4 linked regions of the Arabidopsis thaliana genome follow. The protein of the gene in region 4 interacts with the protein of the main gene of each other region in a pairwise test. Each region holds a gene or a part of one and is shown on either strand. Other genes may lie near its edges. The genes, in order: SOT12, AT2G17150, HAM4 and UNE16.

Region 1 (6,320 bases), on a different chromosome or scaffold from region 4:
TATTAATTCAATTTTTTTGAAAATAATTTTTGTCCTAACACTTCTTTATTTTTTAAATATCATTAGGATAGAGTATTTGAGTCGACTAATCTAGACCCATAATCCAAAATATTCATATAGATGAACCGTTAACCATTTGACGAATAAACTTCCTCAATAGATTTCATAAACACCTAAAAAGACAAACAAGCAAAAACTAAACTTTTTAAAATCAGCTAAGACACTCAAAAAGCATTGATAACTAATTAACTATGATATTTCGACTAAAACGAATATTAGCAATTGTCAGGCCCATTAAGACTTTTAAAGCCCACAAGATAATTTCTAACTTATATTTTTTTTTTGGTTCTAATGTTCTTATATTTACGTAACTGATTAGTACACAAATTATTTTAGCGAAAATTGACTCAACTAAGTTCATAAAAAGAAGAAACATGGAATTTCAAAGCTAAGAATACAACATAACATTTCTCAAGAATGACTCGTTTGAGTCCTAATTTATTTTCGGATGACAAAAGAAAAAAAACACAACACAACCTTATTGAAATATCAAACCGGAGTCTCCTAGTCTATAGTCAATAATCTCATCAAAGGTTTTCGCCATTTGTGGCGTAAGATGATTCTTCCAATCACCAACTTCACCTTTCCTAAAGAACACCTGAGAATCTACACCAATTCTCGTTGTCCCATTCTTATTAACCTCCAAATTGCTTAAATTTCGTAAACTACACAACTTCAAGATCTCCTCCACCGATCCACTTTCTTCTTCTTCCTTGGTGAATGGACATTCCAAGAACTCGGCGAGTCTCTTGACTTGAACACGAGGCTCCTCAATTATCTCTTCGTACTTCATGAAAAGAACATTCTCCTTTGCTTCCAAGCTCCCTTTCCAATAGCTCAATACATGTTCCCAATAAGGTCCATATAAGAGAACTCCTCTACAATAAGCATCAAACATGAGCTCAAAAGTGGCTTGATCCATCTTGGTGCGATGCAACATGTTTCTATAATGCCAGCCGGAGACAAACGTATCTTTGATACCTCTACACACATATACGGTTTTGCAAGCTTTTGTGGTGGCTTCACGCAATGCTTGTAAGTGCATGTGTGTAGAAAAGATCATAGGAGAAGAATACTTTGCGAGATCCGGAATTTGGCTATTAGCGTATAACTCAACCTCAAGAAATGGGACAAGGTCATGAGGGTTTTGTAAGAGCAAAGGATGTGTTTGAGGGGTTCCGCGGTACTTTTCTCTATGTACAACAGCGAAAATTAGGGATTTGAGCCAAGTGGTTCCACCTTTGGGCAAAGAAGCGAGGATTATATCAGTATCTCGTGGCTTGAAGTGTTTTTGGACGTCAAGAACGGCTTGGAGTGTGTTTGGATAGTACCAACAACCTTTGTAGTTGTAGAGACCATAACCCATGAAATCTTTGTCTGAAGGTAGAGAAGTGATCAAGTTCTTGGTTTCTTGACTAACGTTGTCGTCTTTCATGTAGTTTGGAAGGTGATGAGCTTCTTTAGAAGCCTCCATTGTGATAATTTGTTCCCACGATTTGAAACACAAAGAGAGGATAGTGAAAAAGGTGAACATAAAAGAGTTTTTATTTACTTATTTGATGCTTTGAACAATTTGACCTTACAAGCAGATGGTTATATTTCATAGACAAAGTGTTTAGGGATTTGTTTTAATCATGCGTGGATCTTAAGCCACACATTTCCTATATTACGATAAGAAATCTTATCTTGAAAAAAAAAAAATACTTGATAGATTTTGACTCTTTGGAATTGTAGTTTAGTCGTGTACTAGTGTCTAGTGGCTAGTGCATGTGCGGTGTCATAAATTTAAATCTAAATGTGATAGTGAGCGACAAAATTTTGTTTCTTTCTAAAAGATAATAGTATGATTCAAGAAAACACAAACATAATTTATTTCATTTTATTCATAAACACAAACACAAACATAACAGCAGAAAAATATATAAAACAAGAAATAACATAATTGAAGCAAAACAAGAACATGAGAACAAGTTTCAAAGATTGATTCAAGAAGAAAATTTAAGACCAGAACCTTTAAACTTCTCTTCAATGGTTCTATCAATTTCCTCTGCCAATGACTCACTCAAAGTATCTCTCCATCCTCCAATCTCTCCTTTTCTAAAGAAAGTTTTAGTCTCTATTCCATTTGGCAATTTCCCTTCTTTGTTAACTTCCAAATTACTTAAACTCTCAAAGCTACACAACTTCACAATCTCTCTCACTTCTTCTTCTTCAATAAAGCCACATTCCAAGAACTCCGCGATCCGCTTCATCTCAACTTCGGTCTGCTTCTTTAGCTCCTCGTAAGTAACAAACAAGACCTTGTTCGGATTCTCGCGGCTTGCATACCAGTACTCCAATATATGATCCCAAAAGGGTCCACCTATAAACTTCCCTTCACAAAACGCTTCAACCGCTTTTTCGATAGGATAATCCGCGGTTTCCTCAGGAGCTAGCTTTTTCCCAAAATGCCATAAGGACACAAACATGTCCTTAGGGTTCCTACAACAATACACAATCTTACAAGACGAGCTCTTAACAGACTCGGGGAGCGAAAGATGCGATATGTGCGTGTTCATCAGTCTTGGAGAAGGCAAACTGGAGAAATCGAAATCTGGGGACTCGTAGTAAACTCCTTCCAAGAAGGGCACAAGAAGGTGTGGATTGGTGACCAGAAGAGGATGGTTACCAGAAGAAGAAACTGGAAACTTGTGTCGGTTAAGGAGAGCAAAGACAAGAGCTTTTAACCAAGTGGTACCTGATTTAGGATTAGTGACGAGGATAATGTCGGAATCTTTAGCTTCAAAGCGTTTTTGGCAGATCAAGATTCCTTGTAAAATAGCTTGTGTGTGCCAAAGTCCTTGGAATTCATATATTTCACTCACTAACCAACCTTTCTCTTTAGGAAGAGAAGAGATCAGAGCTCTTGTTTCTTGTGTCAGATCTTCATCTCCCAAGTAAGCAGGAACTGATGATGATGATGACATTGTTGAGACTTGAGAGATCGATCAATCTTGAAAGTATGAGATCTTTTGCTTAAGCTCTCTATGTATCTATGATGCTAATGCTTGTCTGCTTTTATATATGAATGAGAAGGTTGTTCTACAAGTAAATTTCACAATGCTTTTGCTTCTAAGATATTAGTTTGGGTGGTGAAATGGTCAACACATCCTTTACTTGAAGAGCACGTAGAATATAATATTTAAAGATAACAAAACAAGAAAGAAGGAGAATCACGACTCTTATGTCTAAAACTCAAAAACAATAGTTTTATTTCTCAACAGACCAGTTTGGTGACTTTGGTCCATCACAACAAGTCAACAACCTTACTTGTATTAAGCCAATAAAAAGAAGAAAAAAAAAAGCTCAAGAAATTGAGAACTAAGTTGGTAAAGCAGATTCTTAGCAAAAGAATCTAAAATCAGAACCAATTAGTTTCTCCTTAGTGGTTTTATCAATTTCCTCTGCTAACAAAGGAGTTAAAGTATCTCTCCATCCACCAATCTCTCCTTTCCTAAAAAATGCCTTAGTCTCCATTCCATTCAGTAACTTACCCTTCTCATTAACCTCCAATTTACTCAGATTCTCAAGACTACACAGCTTTATGATATCTTCCAATACTCCATTCTCTATCTCTTCTTCTGTAAAAGAATATCCCAAGAACTCGGCGATCCGCATCACCCACTCCTGAGGCTGCTCTCTCATCTCTTCATACATTACAAACATAACCTTTTTCGGGTTTTCTCGGCTTTCTTTCCAATACTGTAATACATGATCCCAAAAGGGTCCGTATATACTAGACCCTCGGCAAAAAAACCTCACCATTTCCTCCATTGTGCATCCAACCATCTCCTTAACAATCAAATTTTTCATGAAATGCCAAAGTGAGACAAACGCGTCCTTCGGGTTCCTGCAGCAATACACAACTTTACAGGACGAGTCCTTAACTGACTCAGGGAGTGACCCTACAGGAATGTGTGTAGAGAAGATCCTAGGAGAAGTATCTTGAGTGTGAAGGTGGAAACCTTCGATAAAGGTCACGAGGGTATGCGGGTTGTTATCGAGCAGAGGATGGGATACTAGAGGGGTTTGGAATTCTTGCCTATGAATCAAAGCAAAGACAAGTGATTTCAACCAAGTTGTACCTGACTTAGGAATGCTTGCAAGGACGATGTCTGAATCTCTGGCCTGAAAATGCTTCTGGCTATATAGAACACCTTCTAAAAGATTTGGTGGATACCAAAATCCCTGGTATTGATAGAGATACTCTGCAAAAACGCTTCTGTCTCTCGGAAGAGAAGACAGCAACTCCTCGCATTCTTGGACTAACTCAGATTCTACCAATAACTTCGAAAGAGTGGTTTCGGATTTTGTCATAGTGATATGAGCCAAAGCTTTTGCTCTTGCTTTTGTAAATGGACCCTCTGTTATCTCAGTAATGATTGAATTGCAAAGAAGTGCTCAAGCTTAAAGAACAAAGAGATTTAAAGCAAGCTTCCTCTTAACCCAAGTCTCTCTTAGAGGCTAATTGTTGGAAGTTGTGTTTTCATTAGCATAAAAATCCTTTATATAAGCCATGAAATCTTAAAAATAAAAAGGAAAAACATCAAAACCCAATAATCATATCACACAGATTGTACTATTGTGGTATTGCTTGCACATAACTCTATATATAACTAGATTATGAACATCTTAAAATGTGAGATTTTTCTCTATTTTTATCACTTTCTTTACAAAAGAAAGATTTATGATTTCAAAATAAAACTCTATCTATGAATGATAGATATAAATTTATAAAAAATGTCAAAATCCTATATAAAAGTACCAAATGTCGAACTATAATAAGATGCATTATATGTAGCTGCATAAAAGATAAGAGTATCTATATATGTTTCCTCATTAAGCACAAACAAACAGCAAGAACCAAAAAATGTACTTTCTGGATTACGAAAGATCTAGAAAAAGTGAAGAAGGGCCAAAATTATTAACTTGAATAATAAAGTAATTGCTAGATTCTATTATAAATTAGCTTCCATTCAACAAAAGAAAAGTTTTACATCTAGTTCTAACCATTTGTTTCTTAAAAGTCTTGCAGCATACAGATTTAAAGTTCCTCAGAAGTAAGAAGTGGCTAAAATTCTCTGAAGATAAGTCCATACTAAAACGATCCTACTTGTCGCAAACACACCAACCTTAACAAGAACTTTAAAATGTGTCCGAGAGACGGAAAAGACCACTCACTTTTAATCATTCGACATCAGCAGCTCCCAATAGGTATGATGTTGGTGCATTATCTCCAAGCAGTGGAATATACTCTAATCCTCTCACGTGAACGCTAAAGCAAGCTAATAAACAAACAAACAAAAAAGAGTTACAAAAACGTATTGGTTGGTATCTAATAGTGTGCGGATATGAGATTTGTGCATACCGTTCTCTATTTTGATCACACTTTGAAGCATCACTTCCATCTTGGATTTCATGTCATAACTGTCATCCATCTTTGGCACAACTAGCATTAGTTCCCTATGAATCTGTCGAACAAACTGACAAATCCTCTGCGCGAATTCGATTTCACCGTCTGATATGCGACCAATTGCCATCCGCATTAGCTCTCCCGTCAAATCTGCAAGCTGTGCAAGTAACAAACAATAATCAAACATAATTCAGAACTCCAAACAATAGAGAACATCTTTGACAGTAAGTATTAACCATAAATAAAGATGGTCTAAAAAATACCCCAAGAATATAGTCGAGGATATTGATCTGCAACGGCTCTAAAGAAGGGTCACTAAGTGGTACAAGCGTTGTGTTAATCTCATCGAGAGTACATAGCGTCCCAGACAAACAGAACTTATAAAACGTTGCAGCTTCAACATATTCCTGCACCTGTAAGTTACACAAAACCACAAAACATATCAGTTAAACCATTAACCAAAATCGTACCAAAAGATGAATGATTTTCCGTTTCACAAACCCCTGGGGAATAAGCACGTCTCAGCTTCCAAAAATCAGTCCCTTGAAGCTCTTTCATTAGCCGGGCAAAATGTTGATCCCTCACTGCTTCTAAATCCTTCCCTGCTTTCTCCAATACCTCCTCTTTGTTGTCTTTACTGAGCCTGCCATATAACAACATAGTAAACAAAACAAACAAACAGTATCTTGATGAAGAACACAACAAAAACACACAAAATCTTGATGAACACAAACAAAAACAACAGAGGTGTTGAAATTACCTGTGAACCTGAAAGATAACTTTTTTGCTGTTCATTGTGATATCACGA
Region 2 (9,942 bases), on a different chromosome or scaffold from region 4:
GTCATAAGAGCCTAGAGACTTATAACTCACTGATCCTGGGCTTAGGCATAAAAAACCAGATTTTTGAAATTCATGGACTGATGGATGAGATGAAAGAAAAGGGCATTTCACCAAATATATGCACCTACAATACTGCAATCCAGTATCTTTGTGAGGGAGAAAAAGTTGAAGATGCAACTAACCTCCTTGATGAAATGATGCAAAAGAACATAGCCCCAAATGTATTTTCCTTCAAATATTTGATTGAAGCGTTCTGTAAGGTCCCTGATTTTGATATGGCCCAAGAAGTCTTTGAGACTGCTGTAAGTATCTGTGGACAGAAAGAAGGCCTGTACAGCTTGATGTTCAATGAGTTGCTTGCTGCAGGGCAACTACTAAAGGCTACGGAGTTGCTCGAAGCTGTTTTAGATAGAGGTTTTGAGTTGGGGACTTTTCTTTATAAAGATCTTGTTGAGAGCTTATGTAAGAAGGATGAACTAGAAGTAGCTAGTGGAATTTTGCATAAGATGATAGACAGAGGATATGGATTTGACCCTGCAGCATTGATGCCTGTGATAGATGGCTTAGGTAAGATGGGAAACAAGAAAGAGGCAAACAGTTTTGCTGATAAGATGATGGAAATGGCTTCAGTTGGTGAAGTAGCAAACAAAGTCGATCCAAATGCAAGGGATATACACCAGAAAAAGCATAATAAGAATGGTGGAAACAACTGGCAGAATATATTACACAGGTATGGATGACACTTTCTCCTTCTGGTTTGTCATCATTTATTGTTTCTCCTGTTATAGGCGCCGTTTCAATATGTATTTTAAGATGCTTTTATTGGAGGTTTTGTAGTTCTGCTTTCTCCTTTTAAAGTTTGGTTTTTTGAGGAAAGAAAAAGATTCCAAGATTTGGAGTAAGCATTCGTGTATATGATTAGGCAGTAGAGTCTTTGGTTTCAAGTGAGTTTACATTAAGAATATCGGTTTAACTGTCTTGTCGGAAACCTAATGAATGTTTTCTCTATCAATCGCTATTTTGCAGAGATGACGGTAGTGGAATTGCGTTAAGGTCTCTGTCAAGAGTTAAAAAAGGATGGGGTCAAGGGGATATATCAAGCTTTCAGCCTCCAAGAGTTGACTACTTAGACTACTGGGAGGACGATGGTTAAGGATTTGCATGACTCTGTTTTCTTTCTGATGGGAAAGTTCAGATGGCGCAAGCAAGTTTTTGAGGTGCAGCTCATCAAGGATGACAGGTAAAGGTAAGAACGAATACTGTTGTAGACACGTCTGAAATACAACAGCCTTCTGATGTAGACACGTCTAATCTTTTGGACAAAAAAACAAAATTCTCGTTAAATCAAAAATCAATTTAAAGTAACGTAGAGTAGGACTTCACATCACTTTCTTCATTTTCTTCCTACTTTGGACAGTAGTATTTAATTTTATAATCAAATAATGATCTTGTGGCATACTCTTTTGATCATTGTCTCCATGCTCATGTGTAAGATGTTAGCCTTATAGTAGCTTGTGATGTACAAGGTTGAGAGATCTCTAACGAAGCTAAATATAACTCTCTGGTAAAAGTATCACGGATAATGTTGAGGAATCCAATCTATTTTTAATAACCTTCATGTTCAGTGGAAAAATATTTTAGAATTGGACCCTCACCTTCTGTTTTCCTGTCTTTGTAGCTAAGCTGGTAGAACCAGACAAGACGACATGGCTGGACAAATATATCCTTGTTAGAACGACGTTTAAACATAAGAGCTGCCTGCTTTCATAAAGAATTTGAGCCCAACTTTGAATTTTGGGTGGGAGGAACACAATCTACATTATTGGAGAAAATGTAAGCTTTCTTGTGCTTTCTGTCGGCACATTTTCTGGTTCTGGAACAGTAGGAGTTTGTAGTGGGGATACAAAGAGACTAAGTTTTATAAAACGTGGAAGACCACCAAGTGTTAGCTGCTTAATTGGAACTAGGTTTCTTCTTAAACATAGCCATACAGATTATTTTTTCCTGTTTTTACAATATCAGTTTTAAATGTTTAATCTCATAATCAATATCATGAAATGGATATTCTTGAATCCCGGCACATTATTTTCCATGTACATCAATGCAATCATGGACTAGATAGTATCCTGTAACCAGACATGTCCCAAAAATAAATAAGCGAAACACACAGAATTTTTCAATCGCCATAGTTCCAGTCTTGCAGAGTTTAAGAAACCAGACAATAAGATTGTACATGCATAAAATACAAGTCTATGGAATTCATCTCTTTTATACAAAAATCTGCTAGGGCAATACAGGAGACCAGTTACTACTGCCACTTCCAAAATGTTGTTCAGGGAACTGGAAATATGTTTATACAGGATTCCCATGCTGAAAAGGTAAGTGAGATTTCTACAAAAGCTAAAAAAATCAGTAGAATCTTCCTGGTGCTTTGCAGTTACAAAACTTCGTTTAATGTTTTTCAGGAAAGACCAGTGTTGCCAAAAGAACCACTTAGCTTGACTTGAGAAGCTTCGTTCAGACTTATTTTAATTGTGTGGGTCTGTGTTAATCTATATATGTCAATGCATTCCACGAGATCCGCTTCACATGTCAGAAGAACCCACTCCTTATCATCATCCAGGTACTTAAGGTCAAACCAGGAAATGTCATCTATGTTGAAACGCCTAGCAATCTCTTGCTTCAGCTCTGCGAAGCCCCAACTCGGGAGTAAGGTAAACCGTATTCTGGCCTCACCAAATGTCGCTTTCACTTTGATGGCACCTCTAGCTCTTAAACTCGTGTTGCTACTACCTGTTAATGGAGATGAATTATCAAGAACAAGAGGCTCCTTGAATGTTTTATGGCTCTGGGTTCTTGCAAGACATTTTGTTTCCTCCTGATTCACATTATGCAGTTGTGCTTCGCTATGAGCTCTCTTTAACACCGCATCAGCATCCTCAGCAACTAGAATGTTTCCAGTATTCTCATTATTGTTGCTTGAACCAGAGCTCTTGCTGCAAGAAGATGATGGTGACCTGGGGTTTTCCTCTGCCATAATACCATTATCGGTTTGAGCATTCAAATGACTTGGCTGTTCATTACTCTTCAAGGAAGGGCCATTGCTAGACATATTTGGGGAGTTCAACTCTGGGAAGCTTGTATAGAATGAATCGAGTTGGATAGAGCCCTGCGCACCTTGGACAGAGTCCATAACTAGTTGGAGTTTCTTCAACGAATGCCCAACCTTCTTGATTTTTCGGGAGGGCCATCGCATTATTCCATGTTGCCTGCATATCCTTTTCAAGGTAGTTGGACAAACTGCAACACAAGAACGAAACCTTGTCAGATCACTGTCTGAGAGACAGATAAATAGCCATGATGAAAATGTTTGTAGAGCATGATGATTGATCCACTACCACATAGATATAATGTAAGACTGACTTCTGGTTTCATTGATATTTATGTATATTGGCCATGGAGTTTTCACATATCCTGAGGCATGAATTTTTGTTCAACATATTCATTTGGAATGTTTTGGGTTTTGACTAATGAACGTAATGGTTATGCTTTTCCCAAGAAACAATAAGAATCAAAATTCATAAAGAATGGGGCTATGTCACCAGCAGTGTACAACATTCTCTTACCACCAATGCTCTTGGCTGCATCCTTGAGGCTTCCAGCAAAGTATTGTCGAAGAACCTCCAAGCCAATGGTCTTTTCTGTTTTTGCTCTTTTTTTCTCCCCTGGTCTCCTACTGCTTAACATATTTCCCCCACCAGTCGAAGCTGATTCTGTGCTTGGACCGATGTCGACTCTGAGTCCTGGAGTTGATGCTTGCTGTAATTGCTCAGCTTCTAAAGGAACATTATTGGGGACTGGATCAAGCTGACTGTTCTCCCGGCCAGATGAGAGCTCTTTAGGATCTTCTTTCTGGTACTCCCAAGAAAGTGATACATCTTTACCCTTCTCGTTTGCCTTTATCATGTGGGCGATCCATGAGGATTCTTGCATTTGAATTTCTGTCAACGACTCTACGGTTTCTGCTCCACATAGCAGGTTTTCTGAGAAGAGCATTGTCTCTCTTACAGGTAATACGACTTCTAACTCTAGGTCTTTGATGAAAAGATTTGAACTCCTGAAATCTTGCTGCAGTGTCACACATAGTGACTTGAGCATTTCCTGTTGCGCTTCAGTGTCAAGGCATGCTTTCGGAAAGAAAAATTCCAACACAAACTCAACCAAACCAGATTTGCTCTTTAATGGAACTGCTAAAGCAGCATGTAGTCCAGATATCTTGGCGTGGTGTGCAAGGGGGTAGTTAGTCTTGCTAAATGTGGCCACTTCGGGCACAAAAAAGAGTTTGGTGGCTTCAAATGCTTTCCCAACAATGCCTTCCCCCTGGAGCAGATGGTGTTCAGAGCATGCCTCCCAAAAACTTTTGCTCTGTTCGTCGGGGACAGAACAAGCAGAATCGATTGTTGAAACACACTCAGAGAAGTTCTCATCAGAATGTCGGGAACCAACTTTCCCTTGCCGAGCACACGGCGCCCATGACAAAGCTAGAGGAAAATCATATGATCTGCAGATTGTGGCCAGGAAATCTTTTATTTCAGGTAATGCAGCACAGTAGAAATCACTATAGACCTGCAGAAACTGAAACATGGAGTATGACCTTAGCAATGCATATCGTTGTTTCTAGGAGCTGAATGAACTAAGAATCCAGTTAATGCACCTCAGAGCTTGGAGTGTTCAAGTTACTTGAACTCCTTAGATCGACGGCCTGCAAAACAGCAGCGTCTTTAGACTGTTGTGGCACATAAACAAAACTTCTCACTGTTATCACAGACATTAATCAAAGAAGATTATGGCTGAATGACTGACAGGAGGAGACATGATGCAGAAAGAAAGATGTAGAACAATCAAAGTACAAACGTATGCAGAAGATGTTGTTGGACTCTAAAGAAAACCAAAAAACAAACTGGACAAATGTGAGGAATTGAATAATGAGCAAACAGAGAAAGCCATCCAGTGAAAGATACATTCAAGCATGAGGTTTACTGGTTGTATGGGTCTAAACATGTGAGGTAAGCGTTGCGGGATCTATAGAGTAGTTTGAGGTAGAGGCAAAACCTCAAGAGCTTTACACATCTTCTCAAGTTCTTGCCGGTAATTCATCTTCTGAGTTGTTGTGACGATCTCAACAACACCCAAACAAGTCCCACTACCTCTTTCGAAAACAGGAAGGGCAAGTGAACCACGAACATCACACTTTTGTGCTTCTTTGATGCGTGGATATTCATCTCTTCTAAAGAAACGCACATCAGGAGTCCACTCAGGAAACTTCTGCAAGAAAACACGACCGGGAAGACCCACAAAATCTTTCATACCCTCATCAGCCGGGAAATTATAAGTCTCTGAAACATGTCTGTATTCTGCAAGGCTGGAGTATTCTTGGTTGAATAAATGTGGCTGAGCCCAAGTAGTAAGAAAGCTCTTCCCTTCCTGCTGAATTGGCACCCATATCTGAACCAAGAAGTCCTTATCTTGCACCGCCTCGTTAAGACCACTAATAGCTTGTAGTAGCCTCTCCTTCACAGATGAAGACGGGCCTTCACTTGCACTTGGAGCAATCCACCAACTTTTTCCCACCTCAGCTTCTTCTAGGAGAAACTTTTCAGCCTGAGGAAACATTCTCTCTGTTTCTTCATTAGAGAAATTATCTTGAGATGGATTCTCACCAAAGCAGAGGAAAGGGCTATTGTCATTCATGGCGGTAGAAGCTGAAGGAGATTGTTCTGTCTGCTTCAAGCTCTTACTATCTGTTGTCTCTAGCCAACATCCATCAAACAAGAGTTCATCCATGAAATCCAAATCCATGGCAGTGTCAGCGAATGCCCCAAAGCTAGAATTAGGTGAAAACCCACCATTTCCTTCGCCTCCATCACTACCACCATCATCTTCCATGTCTAAAGATTCGTTTTTATACCTCCAACAGATACTACCAAATCCTCAAGTTCTCAGAGACTGTGCTTAGCTGTTGTTTACTCAAGAACCGAAACTCATAAGGGTCTTGAAGATGAATAGAGACAAGACAAAGTCCTCTCCTTGGAATGTTAAAACCCAATCTGAAAAAGTTGCAGAAACATTGTCAAAGACCCACCCAAGAATAAGACAAGAGAAGAATCATATCATAGAGATGCTATATAATCTATATAAGTAGCTTCGCTTTCAATGAAGAGTTGACTTAAGAAGGTATCCATCAATCAAAGTAGAGTGCCATCAATTTCAATTACAAAATTCTCACCTATGGACATGGAAACGAAATCAAATCTGATTGTCCATGAAAGGGTAAGATTTTCACCAAAAGTTACTAACTTTATCAAGATTTGTTTGCACAAAGAAACAGAAAAAGCTTCACTTTGGGACCTATACCCAAGAACACTTAGAGAAAGCACCAACAAACAAAAAAAAAACATTGAGAAGATGCACAGACTGGATTTTACTCTGTCTAATGTAAAAAGTAATTGGTCTCTCTATTTCTTCATACATATAATGGTAAGCAAAATCAAATCTGAGAATATATATAAACAAAACAAAAACAAAACCTGTGAAATTTCTTATCACAAGAAGCTTCTCTCTTTCTTGAATGGTGTGTTCTTTTTTTCCTTCTTTTTCTTCTGGACACAAGTACTTGGTGAAGGTGAATGATTAAGATTGTTTTAGTCTCTAAAGATGTAATTATGAGCTTCAATATTCTTTTTAGAGAGCAAGTGGACCCGTGATAAGAGCATCCACTGTTCTAATCACACTTACATACAACTTTGTCTGTACCTGTAAATCTGTAATAATAAAGAAAGTAAACAAACAGTCGCTTGGTTTCTCAAATTTAAATCAATCTTTTCTTCTGAAAGAAAGATCAAAGAAGGAAACAAAAAAAAAAAACAAGTTTCTAAGTTTTGGTTTGGAGCCTGATGGTTAAATGTTCTTATTTAATCGTGTGATTGGTGTTATTCTGACCTCCTCTTTGTTGCCCCTAATCATAATTAATTCGTATAAGATTATTATTATTATTACTATAACAGTTGTGGTGATTACGTATGCGTACACTTTGTTTTATTTCTTCGTCGGTACTTTGTGTTTTTTTATTCGGGGATGTTTCATTGGTTAGAACTTGGCTGTATCAATCGGATCAAGATCATTTCTTAGAGAAGACATGTCTTTCGTGTTGAACAGGTTCGTTCGTTCATCAATATAGTTTGACCTTTAATACTTTATTTTCGATTTCTCTTATATGAATATTCTTTCTGACATCAGCTCGAGTCTCAAAGTTTAAAACATTTTGTATATAGGATGGAATCTATATATGATCGATATATAAATAATTGCATTAAAGGCATAATGATTCACACAATTATGGTAATATTTATTCTTACACATGAAATTGCTATTTATGTTCCAAAATGTCGTCATTTTATTAATTTCATGACAAAAATTACTGTCATAAGTTGGGTGCTAACTAGACAGGTTGTGAACTTCCCAATGTTACACATTATCTAAATCGATATAAAAACAAACCCAAAAAAAAAAAGCGAACAGAAGAAACAAATCATTCATCTTAGGTTTCATCATTCAACCAAATTTAATGATTAAACTTGAATATTTGTGTATATAATATATTAATATGTACATTGATATCCAACGGGTCGGGCTTAGACGCTTAGTTAAATGATCAAAACGGCCCTCAATGATTTGGGGAGCCATAGTCCGATCCCCATTAGCCGCGTCCGGGACAATGACATGACCAAACCAAAGGTCATCAAACTCTTTGAAAATAGTTGAATCCTCGTGTAAATCATAAATAACGTATCAATAATAATCAAAGGTTTATACTTTATACTATAAATGCGCACGACGTCTCTTTCTCTCTCTCTCTCTTCCTCTATTTCTTAGATTTGTCATTTGTTATTCGTCTGAATACGGCAGGTCCTATCTACACATGTAACAATAATGTCGTTTAAAATTAGTGTTTTTAATCTCACTGCCAGTACTATAAGATTTTGATATCATATAAGATCAATATCATTGATCGATCCGAGACAAAAGAAAGAAAAACTAAATTATGTTCATTAATCGTTATGTATAGCGTAAGTCGTGTGATGTCAAACCATCTCGTGATTGAGTATGATGGGTACAAAAGCTAGGAGACCAAACCCTGAGGTAAAGTAATTACTGATTGTATGAACAATTTTTGTGTGAGCAAAAAAAAACCTGTAAAATATATATATATGCCCATGATAAGATGATATCACATTTTTGTAATGAAAACGGTGTGATTTAACTAAATTTTATGTCCTTATCTTGGTGCATACAAGGCGTTTTCAAAGATACATATAATAATTTCCCGTACAATCGAATAGAAGCATTGGATTATTGGAATAATACATGTTTTATCGTACGGTAACTTAAGTGCTTACTCGGTTCTGTTTGATAAGGTATACGAAACAACATTTTCAAGCTTATGCCTTCTTAATGATCTAATTAAGTATGCTTAACTGTTTTTATTTGCTTAATGGATATGTTGAAGTCAAAGAACAAGAGGTAATCAGTTCTTGCTTGTCTCTTCATACTATTCATATCTGAATGTGATGTTATATAATATATTCTTATTGTAGGAATCGTGAACCCTAAAAGTGTGACATTGATTTGGTACTAAATATCATTGTGAATCTGCTAACTGGAAAGCGAATTCCTCCAAGCCATGTAAGCCATTCTGTTTCAAACCATGTAAGCCATTCATCTTGACTTTGTGACTTTAATCCTTAGAGAATCTGTCTTTTTCAATTCCTTGCAACACAAGTCACATTTCTGCTGAGTAAATTAGTTGTGATATAGTAATCCTTAATTTCTTGCCACACAAGACACATATTACTGAGTTGTTATCCTCCTATTTTTAGGCTCCTGTGAGGAGAAACGGAAAGTTTGTTACTGAGCTGATGAATCCAAATCTCAAGGGAAAGTTCTCAACAGAAGAAGCTTTCCTAGTTTTCAAACTCGCCTCTGAATGTTTGCAGTGCGAACATAGAAAAAGTCTCATCACAAAAGAGCTTGTTGCAACACTTAAAGCCTTGCAAACTAAACCACACGTAAGGAGCTAGGCTTACTATAACCATATGCATTCTTGATGATATTTCTCGCACTCGTGTTATAAAACCTATCGTTTTGCTTGCAGATTCCAAACATTCAAATGCTTGAACTGGAAAAGTAGCACGAGGTGGGAGCATCTTCCAGTCAACAACAACAGTTTGAACTGTTTAGCGTTCTTAAGTATGCAGATTCCAACTTCTTCTTAAGTTATAAAACCGATCTTTTGTTTGCAGATTCCAACTTCTGAAATGACAAAGCAGAATCTGGAGGCATCATCTTCAAGTCAAACTAAAGCATAAGTAAGAATAGGACTTATTGTTACCCTTAATGAATTCTTTATGAGTTTTCGTACTAAAAAACAGATCATCATCATCTTGCTTGCAGGTTCCATCTTCTAATATGGAAAATTTAAGCAGAAGAATCATCTTCCACACTGAATCTGCTAGTAGCTTTAACAAAGCAACACTTCTCGAAGCAAAGAGATCCAACAACATGCATGGTTAGGGAAGAAGAATCTTGAGTTTATGTTAAAAAATATAAAAAAGAAGTGATATCTTTTACCCTTGTTATATATTAAAAAAAATACGTATACATTTCTCTCTTCTTTTTGTTAAAGGGTTCAAATGAATTTATCTCATTAATTAACAATATCACTAGCAAAACTATAATTCTACTAAAAAAGTTTTCAAATAATTAACCAAAAAAAATATCATACACCTTTGAAATCCACTTGTCACACCACCATGCAATTTCAAACTTCCTAAATATGAAAATATAATTTTGACCCACTAGTGAAAAAACAAGGAAAATATATAA
Region 3 (6,674 bases), 9.4 Mb from region 4:
AAATTTAGATTTTATTACAATTATTATATCAAGAAAAAATATTACTACCAGATAGTTGTACAAAACACTATATCACCATTTTACGTTGAATTTTGACATGTTAACTAAAAGATTGGATAATCAAATCATGTCTTTAATTTTGGTTTATTTTAATCACAGGATACTAAACACACAAAGTTTACAAATTCATAACCTTCAAATTAAAAACAACTTATGAGAATTGAATAATATGTTTTGGCGATATTATATTATTACACAGGTTCTCAGCAGTCAGCACAACAACTTAAAATTTTCTTTATCAAAAACAGTTTATGAGACATTATACTTAGTATAAATCACGGTATACATATTATAAAACTACCAACACAGAAACGAATAATAAGAAAGAAACCTTTGGCAGTGGGACAATTTTGGTAACGAGAGGATCCATTGGTCGATCAGTAAAAGAATATTGTCAGAGTGGGAATATAAGATATGATCGTCATTCATTTGTTTTTAATATACAATCACGTGTGTTAATAAATAGAACTTGTATTAATTACCAACATTATTTATGAAATATTCTTTTCTTTTTCGACAAACTCCAATCATGTGTAGGGAAGATATTGCCATATTTGGAGACGTTAGTGTATATGCAGAATAATTATCATTCATAAATTGTATTGCATATAATTAAAACGTTCGTTACCCAATATCAGATGGATTTAAATAAAATAGTTGTACACATAGGGCCATCATTTTTTCAGGGAATTAGCTGTATGAACGAGAATCAAAAGTGATAGTGTAATGATTTTCAAGCTAACAAGACGTAACATTTTGGTGGTCTGTGGACGAAATAATTTCTGAGCATAATGAAAACATTGGTCTAATACTGGCATTTTATTATTATTATTATTATTTTATTATTTGTTTAAAATACTGGCAATTCAATCTAACAAAAAAAAGGCAACTAATTTGGCGAGTGATTTCAGTTCGATAAATCATTGATTATTTTTCTTGCATGTTCCACATATATAAACTATAATATTATGGTATTTTATGTATGATCCTCGAAAATAAACTAACTAGTTGTTAAGCATGAGATTAGGATACAAGTGGATCCCATTGCATGTAGGCGTTCATACGGTGGAATATTAAACTTGATTATTTCTCTTAAATTTTTAAAACATAACAGAAATGTGGGCTTAATCATTAATTTAATGAGAAACAACTAAAAAAAGTTGCCACAAAAAGAACTTTTAGTATTTTAGTGTGTTAATTGAGCCGCTATACCGCATAAAATCTAAATTATATAACACAGATGAAGACTTATGTAAGAAAAAAAGTTGAATTATGTTAGGAAAAAGGTGTATTAATGAGAGGAACCTTTTCTCCACGATATTAAAGGTTGAATAATGTCTCAATGAGAAGAAGCTTTTCTTCACGAGAACTATATGATGTTTAAATTTCGCAAACTAGGCCATATTTTGCGAAAATGGTGAGTTATTAACCTAATATGATCAAACATTCCTAATTACACAAGGAAAAAAAAAAGAGAGTATATTCAAAAGATTGAGGAAATGGTTTTGCATTCTGGTACACCAAACCAAATAGAAAAGAAAGAAAACAAAAAAGGAAGGTAAATTTCCATGAAAATGAAAGCAATAAGTGAAGGAGAGAACATATTCTTTCTTTTTCCTTTGCGAGTTAGAGAGAAGAGTGGGGGGCTAAGCAAAAGAAAGAAGTGGGCGTGATTCTTACGCGCTGACTTAATGATCAGTCAATCTCTGGCCCATGGGCTTCTCGGTCATTTTCTCCGACATTATTACCTCAAAAGTTAGCCCATTGTGGACCCGCTTACTTTCCCCCTGCTTTTTACCGTGTTATGTGGGCTCCACATAAAGCCCAGTGGTCACTCCCTTTTTCCTTTCCTTTGTTTTTTGTCGCAAGCAGCGGGGATTAGTGTCCGTTAAACATCATCGACTCAAATTGTTTCATGCAATTTTCCCCTTTTTTATTGGTTATCAATCGAATAAACCTCTCTAGCTTTTGTAACTAGTTTGAGATTATTATGTGATATATGCACGGTACTAAATAAATACATAATATTGTATTTTGTGTGGTACTAACAACTAGGTTTAGTGAGAATAAAAACGACGTTGTAGAGTTTGTTTAGTAAGAATATTTTTGTCCAACACAAACTACTTTTAAAAAAAAATTCCAAACGTTGATATACCTATTGCCTATTGGAATAATCAACGCAGATTCATAGTTTTTTATTTATCTCCATACTTGGGTCAAAAACGTATGAGATTTAATGATCGAAAACAATATCCACAAATATGAAATATTTTAACGCTGATCTCAAACTCAGGTACAACATAGTTACATATAGCCGTGCTGCTATGTTTGAGAAAGATTATTTTTGATCACTTAAATTGTCATATGTAATAAAAAAAAACTTTCAGTTAAATGTTTTTGTAAAATACTGTTTAAAATTTTAGGATGAAAAAGACTGAAAAAAAACCACTCAGACAAAAAAAAGAGAGAAATCATTAACCTTTTTAAAACATCCTTTTTCTCTTTTATTTTCAACTTTCACATTCTTGATGATCAACATAGTGGAGCTTGGATCTCTTTTCAATCAAATGATTTATTTTTATTTTTAAAGCAGAGGAACTTTATTTGTATTTTATCCCTTTAAAGAGCTGTAGAAGTTTCCTTTTCATTAGCTACAGAAGTTGCTAGTTGTGCATAGTATATAGTTTTGGAGATATATTATGAGAAATTAATACAAAATAAAAACTGATTTAAAATCTTTCAGTTGAATTTCATGTGAAATAGTATGTTATTAATAAAAAACGGAATCATATACAAATCATTGTCAATCAGATTGTTTCGTGTATAAATATTATTCTGTAAAACCAAACAAACCCGGATCAGACACGGTTACCAAAGTTGAAATCTCTTTATTTGCACGCACTCACTCAAAGATAAAAAGCTTACCACTCTCACCTTTCAAAAGCCCCGCCACCTTCTTCTTCTCCCACACACAAAGAAAAAAGACAGAAAGAAAAAAACTTTTTTTCTTTTCGTTAAAGGCTCCACCTTTCTTTCTTCTTAACACACAACACATGAAAATCCCTGCATCATCTCCTCAAGACACGACCAACAACAACAACAACACTAATAGTACTGATAGTAATCACTTATCAATGGACGAACATGTCATGCGTTCAATGGATTGGGATTCCATCATGAAAGAATTGGAGCTTGATGACGATTCTGCTCCTAACTCACTTAAAACCGGTTTCACCACAACCACAACAGATTCTACTATTTTGCCTCTTTACGCCGTCGATTCAAATCTCCCTGGCTTTCCCGATCAGATTCAACCGTCGGATTTCGAATCGTCTTCCGATGTTTATCCTGGTCAGAACCAAACAACTGGGTACGGTTTTAATTCTCTTGATAGTGTCGACAATGGAGGATTTGATTTCATTGAAGATCTCATCCGAGTCGTGGATTGTGTTGAATCGGACGAGTTACAACTCGCTCAGGTGGTTTTATCACGGCTTAATCAACGCTTGAGATCTCCGGCGGGTAGACCGTTACAGAGAGCTGCGTTTTACTTTAAGGAAGCTCTCGGTTCGTTTTTAACCGGATCAAACCGGAATCCAATCCGGTTATCTTCTTGGTCCGAGATTGTTCAGAGGATCCGAGCGATTAAGGAATATTCCGGGATTTCTCCGATCCCTCTCTTCTCTCATTTCACGGCGAATCAAGCGATACTCGATTCGTTGAGCTCGCAGTCGTCTTCTCCGTTTGTTCACGTGGTGGATTTTGAGATTGGATTCGGTGGCCAATACGCATCGCTTATGAGAGAAATCACTGAGAAATCTGTAAGCGGTGGATTTTTAAGAGTTACGGCAGTGGTGGCGGAGGAGTGCGCCGTAGAGACGCGACTAGTGAAAGAAAACCTAACTCAATTCGCGGCGGAGATGAAAATTCGTTTCCAGATTGAGTTTGTGCTGATGAAGACTTTTGAGATGTTATCTTTCAAAGCGATTAGGTTTGTTGAGGGGGAGAGGACCGTCGTTTTGATTTCCCCGGCGATATTTCGTCGTCTAAGTGGAATCACTGATTTTGTTAACAATTTACGGAGAGTATCACCTAAGGTCGTTGTATTCGTGGATAGTGAAGGATGGACGGAGATCGCCGGATCTGGATCATTCCGGCGAGAGTTTGTTAGCGCTCTTGAGTTCTACACGATGGTGCTGGAGTCGCTCGACGCTGCAGCTCCTCCCGGAGATTTGGTGAAGAAGATAGTGGAAGCGTTCGTTCTACGACCGAAGATCTCCGCTGCGGTAGAAACGGCGGCTGACAGGAGACACACCGGCGAAATGACTTGGCGGGAAGCGTTTTGCGCCGCCGGGATGAGGCCGATACAGCTAAGCCAGTTCGCCGACTTTCAAGCTGAGTGTTTATTGGAGAAAGCGCAAGTTAGAGGATTCCACGTGGCGAAACGACAAGGAGAATTGGTGCTGTGCTGGCATGGAAGAGCACTTGTTGCCACATCAGCTTGGCGGTTTTAGATAAACCGGGTTTGGTTTAACAATATGATATAGAATAGAATAATTGTATTTACCGCCTTTAATATCTCTTTTCTTTTTGCTGTTTATCTTTCAAATAAAGAAATAAAAATATTTCTTACGAAGAGTCTCTGTATGAGCTAGAGTCTTTTAATGATTCATAATCTCCTCTATTCAAAACACAAGTGACCTTTTTTTTGCGAGTGTGCGAGTTCGTCGTCAATTTGGTAAAACCGTCGTACGAATCGCCGATGAGCGGGTTTGCTTCACAGATTCCATCCATGGCGCTTCTTGGATCTGGACTCACCGGCGAGGTAATCTTCCTTTAGTTTGATTGATGTTTCCGATTGTACGGCTTTTGTTCCGATCCGTGATTTGGGGATTCGTGATAAAGTTTATGATTAAATATGTATATTTAGGATTCCTTCATCTTCTGCCTTGTTGGAATTCAGATTTCTTCTGTACTGGATTGTTTTTTTGTTTGGATTACTCTTTGACAAAAGCCGATTAGAGAAAGAGGTGTTTCAATTCCTGATCATGTGGATATTCTCAACTTTTGGATTGAGAGAAACAATTGTTTTTCTCAATGGAATTTTCAGGTTGGGTTGCGTGTATTGTTCTCTCCACTTAGTTCCAATATCGTACTTCGTACAGCATGGTGAGTTTTTTTTATTGTAAGGTGAAGAAAGCCATATAGTTGCTAGAATCAATGGTACAGGTAGACGAATGAATTGGAGGAATGATTTGATTGGTGAGATTGTGATCTGATTGAGTGATTCTCATTACATGTGAAGCAATGGGGTAGGGAGGGAGTTTTTTTTTTTTTTTTTTTTTTTGTTGACATAGTTATTAACTTAGCCGAGTGGACAAGGGTTCTATTCTACTTGTTGTGATACTTTAGGGTATCTTTTGGACAAGGGTCAATCTATTGTTGGGGAATCTGGATTCTTTTTGTTTTATCCGAGTTTTTGGTTATTTTCTCTATTAGAAGGTGTTATAGCTGTAGTTGACTAAAGGATTCGGTTATAAAGGACACGTTTGTGTGGTATGTCTGAAACTTGTTTCCTGCAGCTGCTCCATTGGCATCGGTTTGCCTGTGTACTCTACCTTCAAGGCAATTGAGAGTGGAGATGAGAATGAACAACAAAAGATGCTTATTTACTGGGCAGGTGGGATATTGTTACTGCAATTGTTATGACCTTTCTAATTGCTTTCCTTATTCTTTGACTGTTTATCTTCAATAGTTTTTTTTCAATCTCCCTTGGCCTTCTTTCACATGGAATTTGATGGGGTTTTTTCTCTATCTTCACCTTCTTTGCAGCTTATGGTTCTTTCAGCCTTGTTGAAGTGTTCACGGACAAGATCATTTCCTGGTATGATTGACATCTTGAAACTATATACAATATCTTGATGGTTTTGCTGTTATGTTAGACAAATAAGATATTTCTTCTAATGGACTTTATCGAGAGAAATGGCTTGATTATCTCGATAAACTCGCAAAGTATTGATACTCAATAACCTCGATTATTTGCAGGTTCCCGCTGTACTATCATGTGAAGTTTGCGTTCCTCGTCTGGCTTCAACTCCCAACTGTTGAGGTACCTATCGGAATCTCTTTAAACCATCATCTAACGAGTAGGCAGCTTTAACCCGTGGTACTCATCAGTTCTGATATTCTCTATATTCTTATTTGCCGACAACAGGGATCAAAACAGATATACAACAACCAGATCCGTCCTTTCCTCTTACGACACCAAGCTAGAGTGGACCAACTTGTGGATGGTGTATATGGGGAAATGGTACACGATTGCTTTCTTTTGAACTCCCTTATTCTTCAGTCACTTTTAACTAACGCTTTAAAACAAAACAAAAAACTGCAGGTGAAGGTCGTTAGGTCACACCAAGGAGAAATACGGTTTGTCCGAGCAATGATTGCCAAAATCTTGGGATCAGGTTTGTTTCGGAACTCTAATTTTCTATCTTTAGTGTAATACTTTGCTATCAGGGTATTGAACTGACTATTTTATTTGTACTTGCTGTGTTGTTCCAACAGTCAACGAGGATGCACCACGACTAGGAGAAATAGCAAATGGTAGCCCCGTT
Region 4 (7,028 bases):
CAGTCTCCATGTCATCCCATGGTTCAGTAATCTGTTGCGGCGTCTGCAATCTTTCGATTTGAGCTGGTTTAGAATCTGGAGTATTGTGAGGTTGCTCAGTCTCAAGAAACATTTGCCTGTAGGTATCAACTTCCTTCTCCAGAAAATGTTTCTCCCTCTCCCTCCTAAGCAAAATTTCTTTAAGAATACTCATCTCTTCCGCATCAAAAGCAGACTTTTCTTCTATCATCCGCTGATATTGCCTAGCTTCCATCTCTATCGACGCCTTTTCTTCTTGCAACCGTAATATCATACCTAAAGCCTCATCTGCAGCAGATGCAGCAGCATTTCTCTCTTTCTCAAGTTCAAGAGCTAACGAAGCACGTGCAGCTCGTTCTTCCCCAAGCACTTGTTCTGACATCTCAACCGTCCTCTGTACCATACCAGGGGAACTGCATGCACCCTCTCCCACTCCACACCCAACAGAACTTAGTGAAACACTTTTCCGCAACGACACATCCTCCAATGCTTTTCCACTATCTACAATGTTACAACTTGCATCAAAATCAACATTCACTATCCAATATAATTGAATAAAGACAACAAAAAAACTTACCATTGGAGTTCACAAGAAGAGGATCATTTTCATCATATGATCCCTCAAAGCTCTTAAGGCCTAAACAACTTTGGTAATGGTTCTTGAAACCATACGGCGACCTATGGAAGCTAAGCCGCTTACTCTTAACTTTAAAGCTTCCTTTTTTCAAACTTTGCGCAGTTAAAAGATCGAACCCTGAAGCCTTATTCTCAAACTTTCCAACAGAAGGAGTAGTACTAGATACCTCATCTTCCAACTGAACACGTCTACGCTCACATTTTCTCTTCTTTCCACCATTATACAGAATTGAATCAAAAGGTGTTCTATTTTTAACAGATCTTTGAACAGAAGAGATCTTTTTAACCGGAAGATTCCTTAAACTCTCTTGAAAACACTCACTGTATAGACCATCACAAGGACATGGTAGGTCTAAACCAAATAAACCGAGGAACTTCGATGTTACATAAACGATAAACGATGCGCAAAGTAGCGAAAACGCAACGGAAAGATCGATAAACGCAGCCACTAAACCTTTAAATGTCCATGATTTTACCTCCTGGCAACGCATTTTATACCTGCAAGTATACAATAATCTACAGAAATTACTCAAAGTTTGAGAAATTGGTTAGAGAATCAAATTGTTATTTGAATCAATTACAAGCATATATCCAAATCTAAGACTAATTTGGTAAGTTAATCAATCAATCAATCAAATTATATATAAACACAATCGTTACCACAGAGAAAACTCAACGATGAATCAATCGTTAACACAGAGAAACTCCTTGCGATTTGATTAATTTTTAGTAAATTAGAGAATTGAAACTCACACGAAGAAGAAGAAGTTGAGAAATCTTGGGGAAGCAAGCACAACGTAAACGGCTCTTCCTCTGCCGTTTTTATTTTCTCTCTTTGTTCAAAAATCAAAACTTCTTTTTTAGTTTTCAAAACTTCAGTTGCAAATCACCGTACGAGTGAGCAGATACGCCGTCATTTTATCGCCGACCCCATCACTCTCTTCCTCTTGAGATTTTTTTTTTTTTCTTTGACATTTTATTTTACACACGTAATCAAATTTGTGCATTTACGCAAATGTGTGCCAACTAATTTGTAGACAAGATCCAATCTATAGCATGGAGATAAGTTATGAGTATTTAATGAGTATTTTTTATGTTATACAATTACATAAATTCTATATTTAGGTTTGTCCAAAAAAGAAAAAAGAAGGCAAGCTTAGAAAAAGTTGAAGCAAATACACAAACTAAAAGAGAGGCTACAGATTCAACAAATATATACATAGACGCTAAGACAAGTTTGATGACAGAGTTTAGAGTTAAATACAACATAGCAAAATTAAATAAGCTAAAATCTGGTCTCGCTCTCTCTCTCTCTCTTGCTAACTTCATCCAATGCTACTACTAGGCATAACCCATCCAGCATCATGACCAACAACCACACTATCTCCATTTCCAAACACTCCTCGTTGTCTCTTCTTCATCAACGCAGCTGATACCGGACTTCCTACAGTGCTGGAAGTCAGAGAGCTCTCTGCTGAACAGTTGTTCTTGTGCTCTATTGCTACTGCAAGCTCGGATAAGGATGGAATCATCATTTTGGTTGTGTCGAAGGTGCTTGTTGTTCCTTGGCACCCATTGGTGATGGAGGCCTTTATGGCTAGCTCTGAAAGCTCTTCTCTAGCTGCCTCTAACCCAGCAAATGCAACAGCTTGCTCCTCTATAGCCTTGCAAGCTTTCTCTAGAATTGATTGCAGGTACTTCCCTTGTGCCTCGATCCTTAACTGGAGTCGCCTTTGCACCTGCGTATACTAATGGATCTTATTAAATGTGGAACCAGGGCTCAAACATTAGTATATGCGGTTTCTATGGTTCTAACTTTCATGAAAAGATTTCCTAAGTAGTAACGTTCTGATAAGCTTTAAGGAAATTCAATGGAGGTTTCTATATAGTCTCTCATTAACCAAAGTCTCTCTGGTATTTGGTGAATTCGAAGAAGAAACTAACCTCTAGTTGCTCGTGTAGTCTTCTTTGGACTTCCATCTGGGCACGCAAAGCTTCAGTGACCTGGTAACTCCTGGCTCAAGACAAAAACAATGAGTGTTATAGACAGTGAATATAACACTTGGAATAAAGAGAACACTTGAAACCATACTCGTTCTGTTCTTGAGCAGCCAATCTTAAGGATGATGTTGAAGATGAACCAGTGTCCTGACTCTCCGCAACACAAGAAACTACAGAGATATAAGTTCACAAAGATATAAATGCACAACTGAATCCATAAAGATATAAATGGATTCTTAGCTAAAGATATAACTGAATACCATCCTTAGAGTTGTCAATTGATTCTTTACAAGATTGCCTCCCCAAGCGGAATTTCTACCGAGCAAAAAACCAGAGAACAACACAGTCAAAAAGCAATGAACTTTGTTTGTTATAAGTAGCCAAAGAAGCATAATTTGATATTGAAGGTAGTAGCATCAAAACCTGAAGATGAGATTTGAGATGGTAAAGAGTGAGACCCTTCACTCCCATTGTTCTCATTATAGTTTTAGGCGTTGCTTCTGACATCAAACCAAACACACAAAAAAACTAATCTTGTAAACAAATCTCAAGGCCAATAAAAAAAACCTAAAGAATGCCACAGTAATTCCTAAATTGTTCTAAGTGACATAAACCCAAGAAATCCATTCTATTTCAGGATGATTGACTTCCAAATCTGAAAGAAATTAGACCTAACTCGTTGTCAAATTCTTCGTACTAACTGAAGAACAACAGATTAAAAAAAAAAACACATTTCATTCTAAGATCCATAAATTTCTAAGAAGGGACACTTACTGTCGGGTCCGCCGAGCTGAGTGACGGCGTCAACGAATCTTTCATGGAGCTCAGAGGTCCAACGAAGGCGAGGCTTGGGGTCAGTGGTTAGGACCAGACAAGCGTCGATGGGAAGATTGGTTCCGTCAGAGTAGTCTCCCAAGCTGCCATCTAGAGGAAGCGAAGACCGAATCGCCGAGTACATTCTTCTTTGATCCCCACAAAGGAACAAACTTTTCTTCGTTTCTTTTATTTTCTCGGCTGTTTTCCCGGGAAAGTGAAAGAAAGTGTGAAGAAAGATATTGTGGATTTCTAAGACAGCGAAGAAACGAGTTGATAGATTGGACAAGACAACACTCGGATAGTATTTTGTGTTTATATTTGTGCATTATTGAATTTATTTAGATATTTTCAAAAAAAAAAAAAGAGAGAGCAGAATTTATGTTTTGGTTATTTGTACTCTTTGCATTGAAATTCCAAATAACATATATGTTTTGAAAAAGTAGTAAGATAAAATTTCTTTTAGTTATTATTTTCGTTTTTCAATAGCAGAATAAAACTTCAAGTTCTCTATCTTAAGATGGTGCTAACTGCTAAAATAAACCAAATGAAAAAAGAAAAAAATAGGGTCCTCAATTTTTTTTTAAATATCAAATCCTTTAAACCTACTAGACATTTTTCCAATTATTTTTCTTTTATATAATTCAAGAGAAAAAAAGTATTCTTTAGCTTTAGTTTTTTAATTTTTATATTACTATTGACAAAATTTGTTTATGTAATAGCAGTTTCCAAATTCAGCCACATAAAACATTAAGAAATCAGAAGCACATCAATCATTCATATGCATAAAGAGAGACTCTGTTTCTTGGCAACATAGAATCTTTATTTTGAGACACTTTCTCTTAATCTACAATTCATCAATTTTAAAGCCATAGATGCACGTATATATGTAATATGTACACATATATAAGCCCCTAAAAAAGGATGGGGTATGAAAGATAGTGATAGTTACTTAGCAATGGTAGTAGAAACAAAGGAGTGGTTCGTTTTGTTAAGTCATCGATGGTCTCCTTTGCTCATGATCAACTCCTGCATCAACTCCAACTTTTCCTCAAGAACAGTCATGTGACTATTCTTTCCTTCAGGATAATACTCTTTGCTCAAGTATATCGTCTAGTATCATATCATTGCTGAGAATTCAGCTTACCCGTAAGGTTTGGTCCATGATCTCCTTCTTTGAGCGAGAACCAGAGCTCGAACTTTGGAACACAGACTTAACCTTCCCAAAAGAGGCGAGTGAGCTACCAGGCTTTGGCTCTTACCAGTAATCTTTACAAGAGCAAGCACCTCCTTCAAAATGATGAAACCTATATGCATCCCTCACTATGATTTCTCGATTTGATACCTTAGATACAAACTTTATCCAAGCATGGCAATCGTTGCAAACACGTAGGTTCTTCATTACATTTATAGGCACTGTTGCAGGCAAGCTAAGGAGTCCAAATGAAATTGCTAATTTCTCGCTGTGGATGAAAATTATTGGATCTTTTTGCTCGTGCTGCAGTTCATTCAATAGGCTGAAACAGTCTTGCACATACCCGATTTCAGATGCTCGTTTGGTAAGATCTTGGAAGTATTCATGTATCTCATCTGCTAACGGGTGATTCTGGTCACCAACATAGAAAGAGTGAATTGAGTTTTTAACTTCAATCCAACTTTGTCCCGGTTCTTTCTTCACACCCTTTTCTTTCATCTTTTGTCTTGTAAGATCCCTAGCATCCCATTTCTTGGACACCGCATACAGATTTGACAGAAGAACATATGTTGCTGAGTCTTCAGGTTCTAACTCTAGGAGATGATGCGCTGCAAATTCTCCTATTTCCATGTTCTTGTGCACTACACAAGCACTCAAAAGTGTTCTCCAGACCAAGGCATCTGGCTTAATAGGCATTTCCTGAATGAACTCTTTCGCACGGCTCAAAAGACCAGCTCGAGTTAGCATATCCACTACACACACATAGTGTTCCGGTTTAGGAGATAATCCATATTCTGAATTCATGGATTCAAAGTATGCAATCCCCTTGTCCACTAGTCCTATGTGGCTACATGCTGATAGAACTCCCACAAGCGTCACATGATTAGGCCTTACATTAGAATGTATCATCTGGTCAAAAGAATCTAGTGCTTCAGAACCAAACCCATGTTTAGAATAAGCATTAATTATCGCATTCCACGAAACTTCATTTTTCGTGGAGACTTCAAGGAACTGCTTCTCTGCATCAGAAATGCTCCCACACTTGGCATACATAGAGATTAAAGCATTGCAAACTTCGGTTTCTGAATCGTATCCGGTTTTGGTGATCACAGCATGAACCTGCTTCCCTTGTTTCATGTTAGCTGTCTCAGAAGCAGCTTTCACAGCAGACCCAAACGTGAAATTATTATTGTCAATTCCTTCTCTGTTCATTCGAACGAAGACACGAAGTGCTTCTTCATTGTTTCCACTCTGCTGAAATCCGGATACCAGAGCATTCCATGCTATATTATCTCCAGCTTCAGTTTGTTCAAACGCTAAATACGATTCCTCTATTTTTCCGCATCTAGAATAAAGTGTAACCAGTGCATTTTGAAATGGCAGGTCAGATGAGAAACCAGATACACAAGCTTGAGCATGAATTTGCTGTCCTTCCTTTAAGGCTTGAAGACCAGCACATGCACTAACTGCATTTGTCAATCCAACTTCATCAGACCGAATCCCTCGATCCAACATCTGCCTGAAAGTTGTTAAAGCTTTGTCGTCGAAATTGTATTGCGTGTAACCTGCAATCATTGTTGTCCAAGACACAACATCTTTTCCAGCAAACCTTATAAGTATATCCCAGGCAGTATCCAACTTTCCTAATTTTGCATACATATCGATGAGCACACTACAAACATAGGCATTGAGCTGAAAGTTAGTTTTTATTATTTGACTATGGATTTGTTCTCCAAGCTCCAGATCCCCAAGTCGTATGCAAGTTTTCAAAATACTCGGGTAGGTATATTGATTTGGAACAATTTCCTCTATCTGCATCTGTCTGAAAATCCTAAAAGAATTTCTTAAATCGTCTAATAACCCATAAGCTACTAGCATCACATTCCAGAGAACTACATTTTCAACCTCAGTCTCAAGAAAATAATCAAGGGCGGTTTCAATATCAGCGCATTTTGCATACAGATTAAGGAGCGCACCTTCAATCTTGTTGTTTGAAGCAAAACCAAGTTTAGTTGTGTATGCATGTAGCTGTTGTCCCCTAAACAGAGTTCCATCAGCTGAACATGCAACCACAAGGCTCGCAAGAGTATTACTGTCTGGTTCAAGTCCATCAAGGTGCATTCTTTTGAACAATTCCATAGCTTTCTCACCATAACCACACTGAGAAAGCCCGTTGATAAGAGTGTTATAAGTAACTGCATCTCTCTGTGACATGTTACTGAAGATGTGTTCTGCTGATATCAAATTTCCCAAATGAAAGTACAAAGACACAAGTGCATTGCAAACATAAGTGTCGGAGGAAAACCCTAACTTCAATACGAGCCCATGAAGCTGCTCACCAATCTCAAGAGATTCTATCTTCTTA

Evidence for each region.
Region 1: the proteins of UNE16 (region 4) and SOT12 interact in a two-hybrid assay, tested with the Arabidopsis thaliana proteins (one large-scale study listed by BioGRID).
Region 2: the proteins of UNE16 (region 4) and AT2G17150 interact in a two-hybrid assay, tested with the Arabidopsis thaliana proteins (one large-scale study listed by BioGRID).
Region 3: the proteins of UNE16 (region 4) and HAM4 interact in a two-hybrid assay, tested with the Arabidopsis thaliana proteins (one large-scale study listed by BioGRID).

What each region holds. Positions count from the first base shown.
Region 1 is NC_003071.7:1,147,430-1,153,749, forward strand, and holds SOT12 (sulfotransferase 12), read right to left. Parts: upstream 3,235-6,320; 5' UTR 3,027-3,234; coding exon 2,046-3,026; 3' UTR 1,866-2,045; downstream 1-1,865. Other genes in the region: AT2G03750 (P-loop containing nucleoside triphosphate hydrolases superfamily protein), read right to left, coding at 539-1,594; AT2G03770 (P-loop containing nucleoside triphosphate hydrolases superfamily protein), read right to left, coding at 3,442-4,416; AT2G03780 (Translin family protein), read right to left, coding at 5,287-5,384, 5,468-5,669, 5,776-5,925, 6,014-6,155, 6,273-6,320. UniProt on the Arabidopsis thaliana protein: Sulfotransferase that utilizes 3'-phospho-5'-adenylyl sulfate (PAPS) as sulfonate donor to catalyze the stereospecific sulfate conjugation of 24-epibrassinosteroids. Preferred substrates are 24-epicathasterone and 6-deoxo-24-epicathasterone.
Region 2 is NC_003071.7:7,464,588-7,474,529, forward strand, and holds AT2G17150 (Plant regulator RWP-RK family protein), read right to left. Parts: upstream 7,000-9,942; 5' UTR 6,588-6,999; exon of another isoform or gene 6,287-6,587; intron 6,108-6,286; 5' UTR 5,947-6,107; coding exon 5,113-5,946; exon of another isoform or gene 4,832-5,112; coding exon of another isoform or gene 4,763-4,831; coding exon 4,715-4,762; intron 4,636-4,714; coding exon 3,627-4,635; coding exon of another isoform or gene 3,544-3,626; exon of another isoform or gene 3,301-3,543; coding exon 2,462-3,300; 3' UTR 2,100-2,461; downstream 1-2,099. Other genes in the region: AT2G17140 (Pentatricopeptide repeat (PPR) superfamily protein), read left to right, coding at 1-730, 1,027-1,153; AT2G17160 (Interleukin-1 receptor-associated kinase 4 protein), read left to right, coding at 8,167-8,199, 8,937-9,125, 9,360-9,425. UniProt on the Arabidopsis thaliana protein: Probable transcription factor.
Region 3 is NC_003075.7:17,302,947-17,309,620, forward strand, and holds HAM4 (GRAS family transcription factor), read left to right. Parts: upstream 1-2,811; 5' UTR 2,812-3,113; coding exon 3,114-4,574; 3' UTR 4,575-4,702; downstream 4,703-6,674. Other genes in the region: HVA22K (HVA22-like protein K), read left to right, coding at 4,823-4,885, 5,171-5,229, 5,643-5,740, 5,893-5,944, 6,106-6,169, 6,275-6,370, 6,452-6,524, 6,625-6,674.
Region 4 is NC_003075.7:7,934,885-7,941,912, forward strand, and holds UNE16 (Homeodomain-like superfamily protein), read right to left. Parts: upstream 3,762-7,028; 5' UTR 3,614-3,761; coding exon 3,430-3,613; intron 3,156-3,429; coding exon 3,079-3,155; intron 2,971-3,078; coding exon 2,916-2,970; intron 2,826-2,915; coding exon 2,747-2,825; intron 2,669-2,746; coding exon 2,599-2,668; intron 2,403-2,598; coding exon 1,980-2,402; 3' UTR 1,722-1,979; downstream 1-1,721. Other genes in the region: AT4G13630 (zein-binding protein (Protein of unknown function, DUF593)), read right to left, coding at 1-519, 596-1,145; AT4G13650 (Pentatricopeptide repeat (PPR) superfamily protein), read right to left, coding at 4,727-7,028. UniProt on the Arabidopsis thaliana protein: Transcriptional activator. Probable component of the central regulatory system controlling transcriptional responses to Pi starvation. Binds in a sequence-specific manner to phosphate starvation-regulated promoters.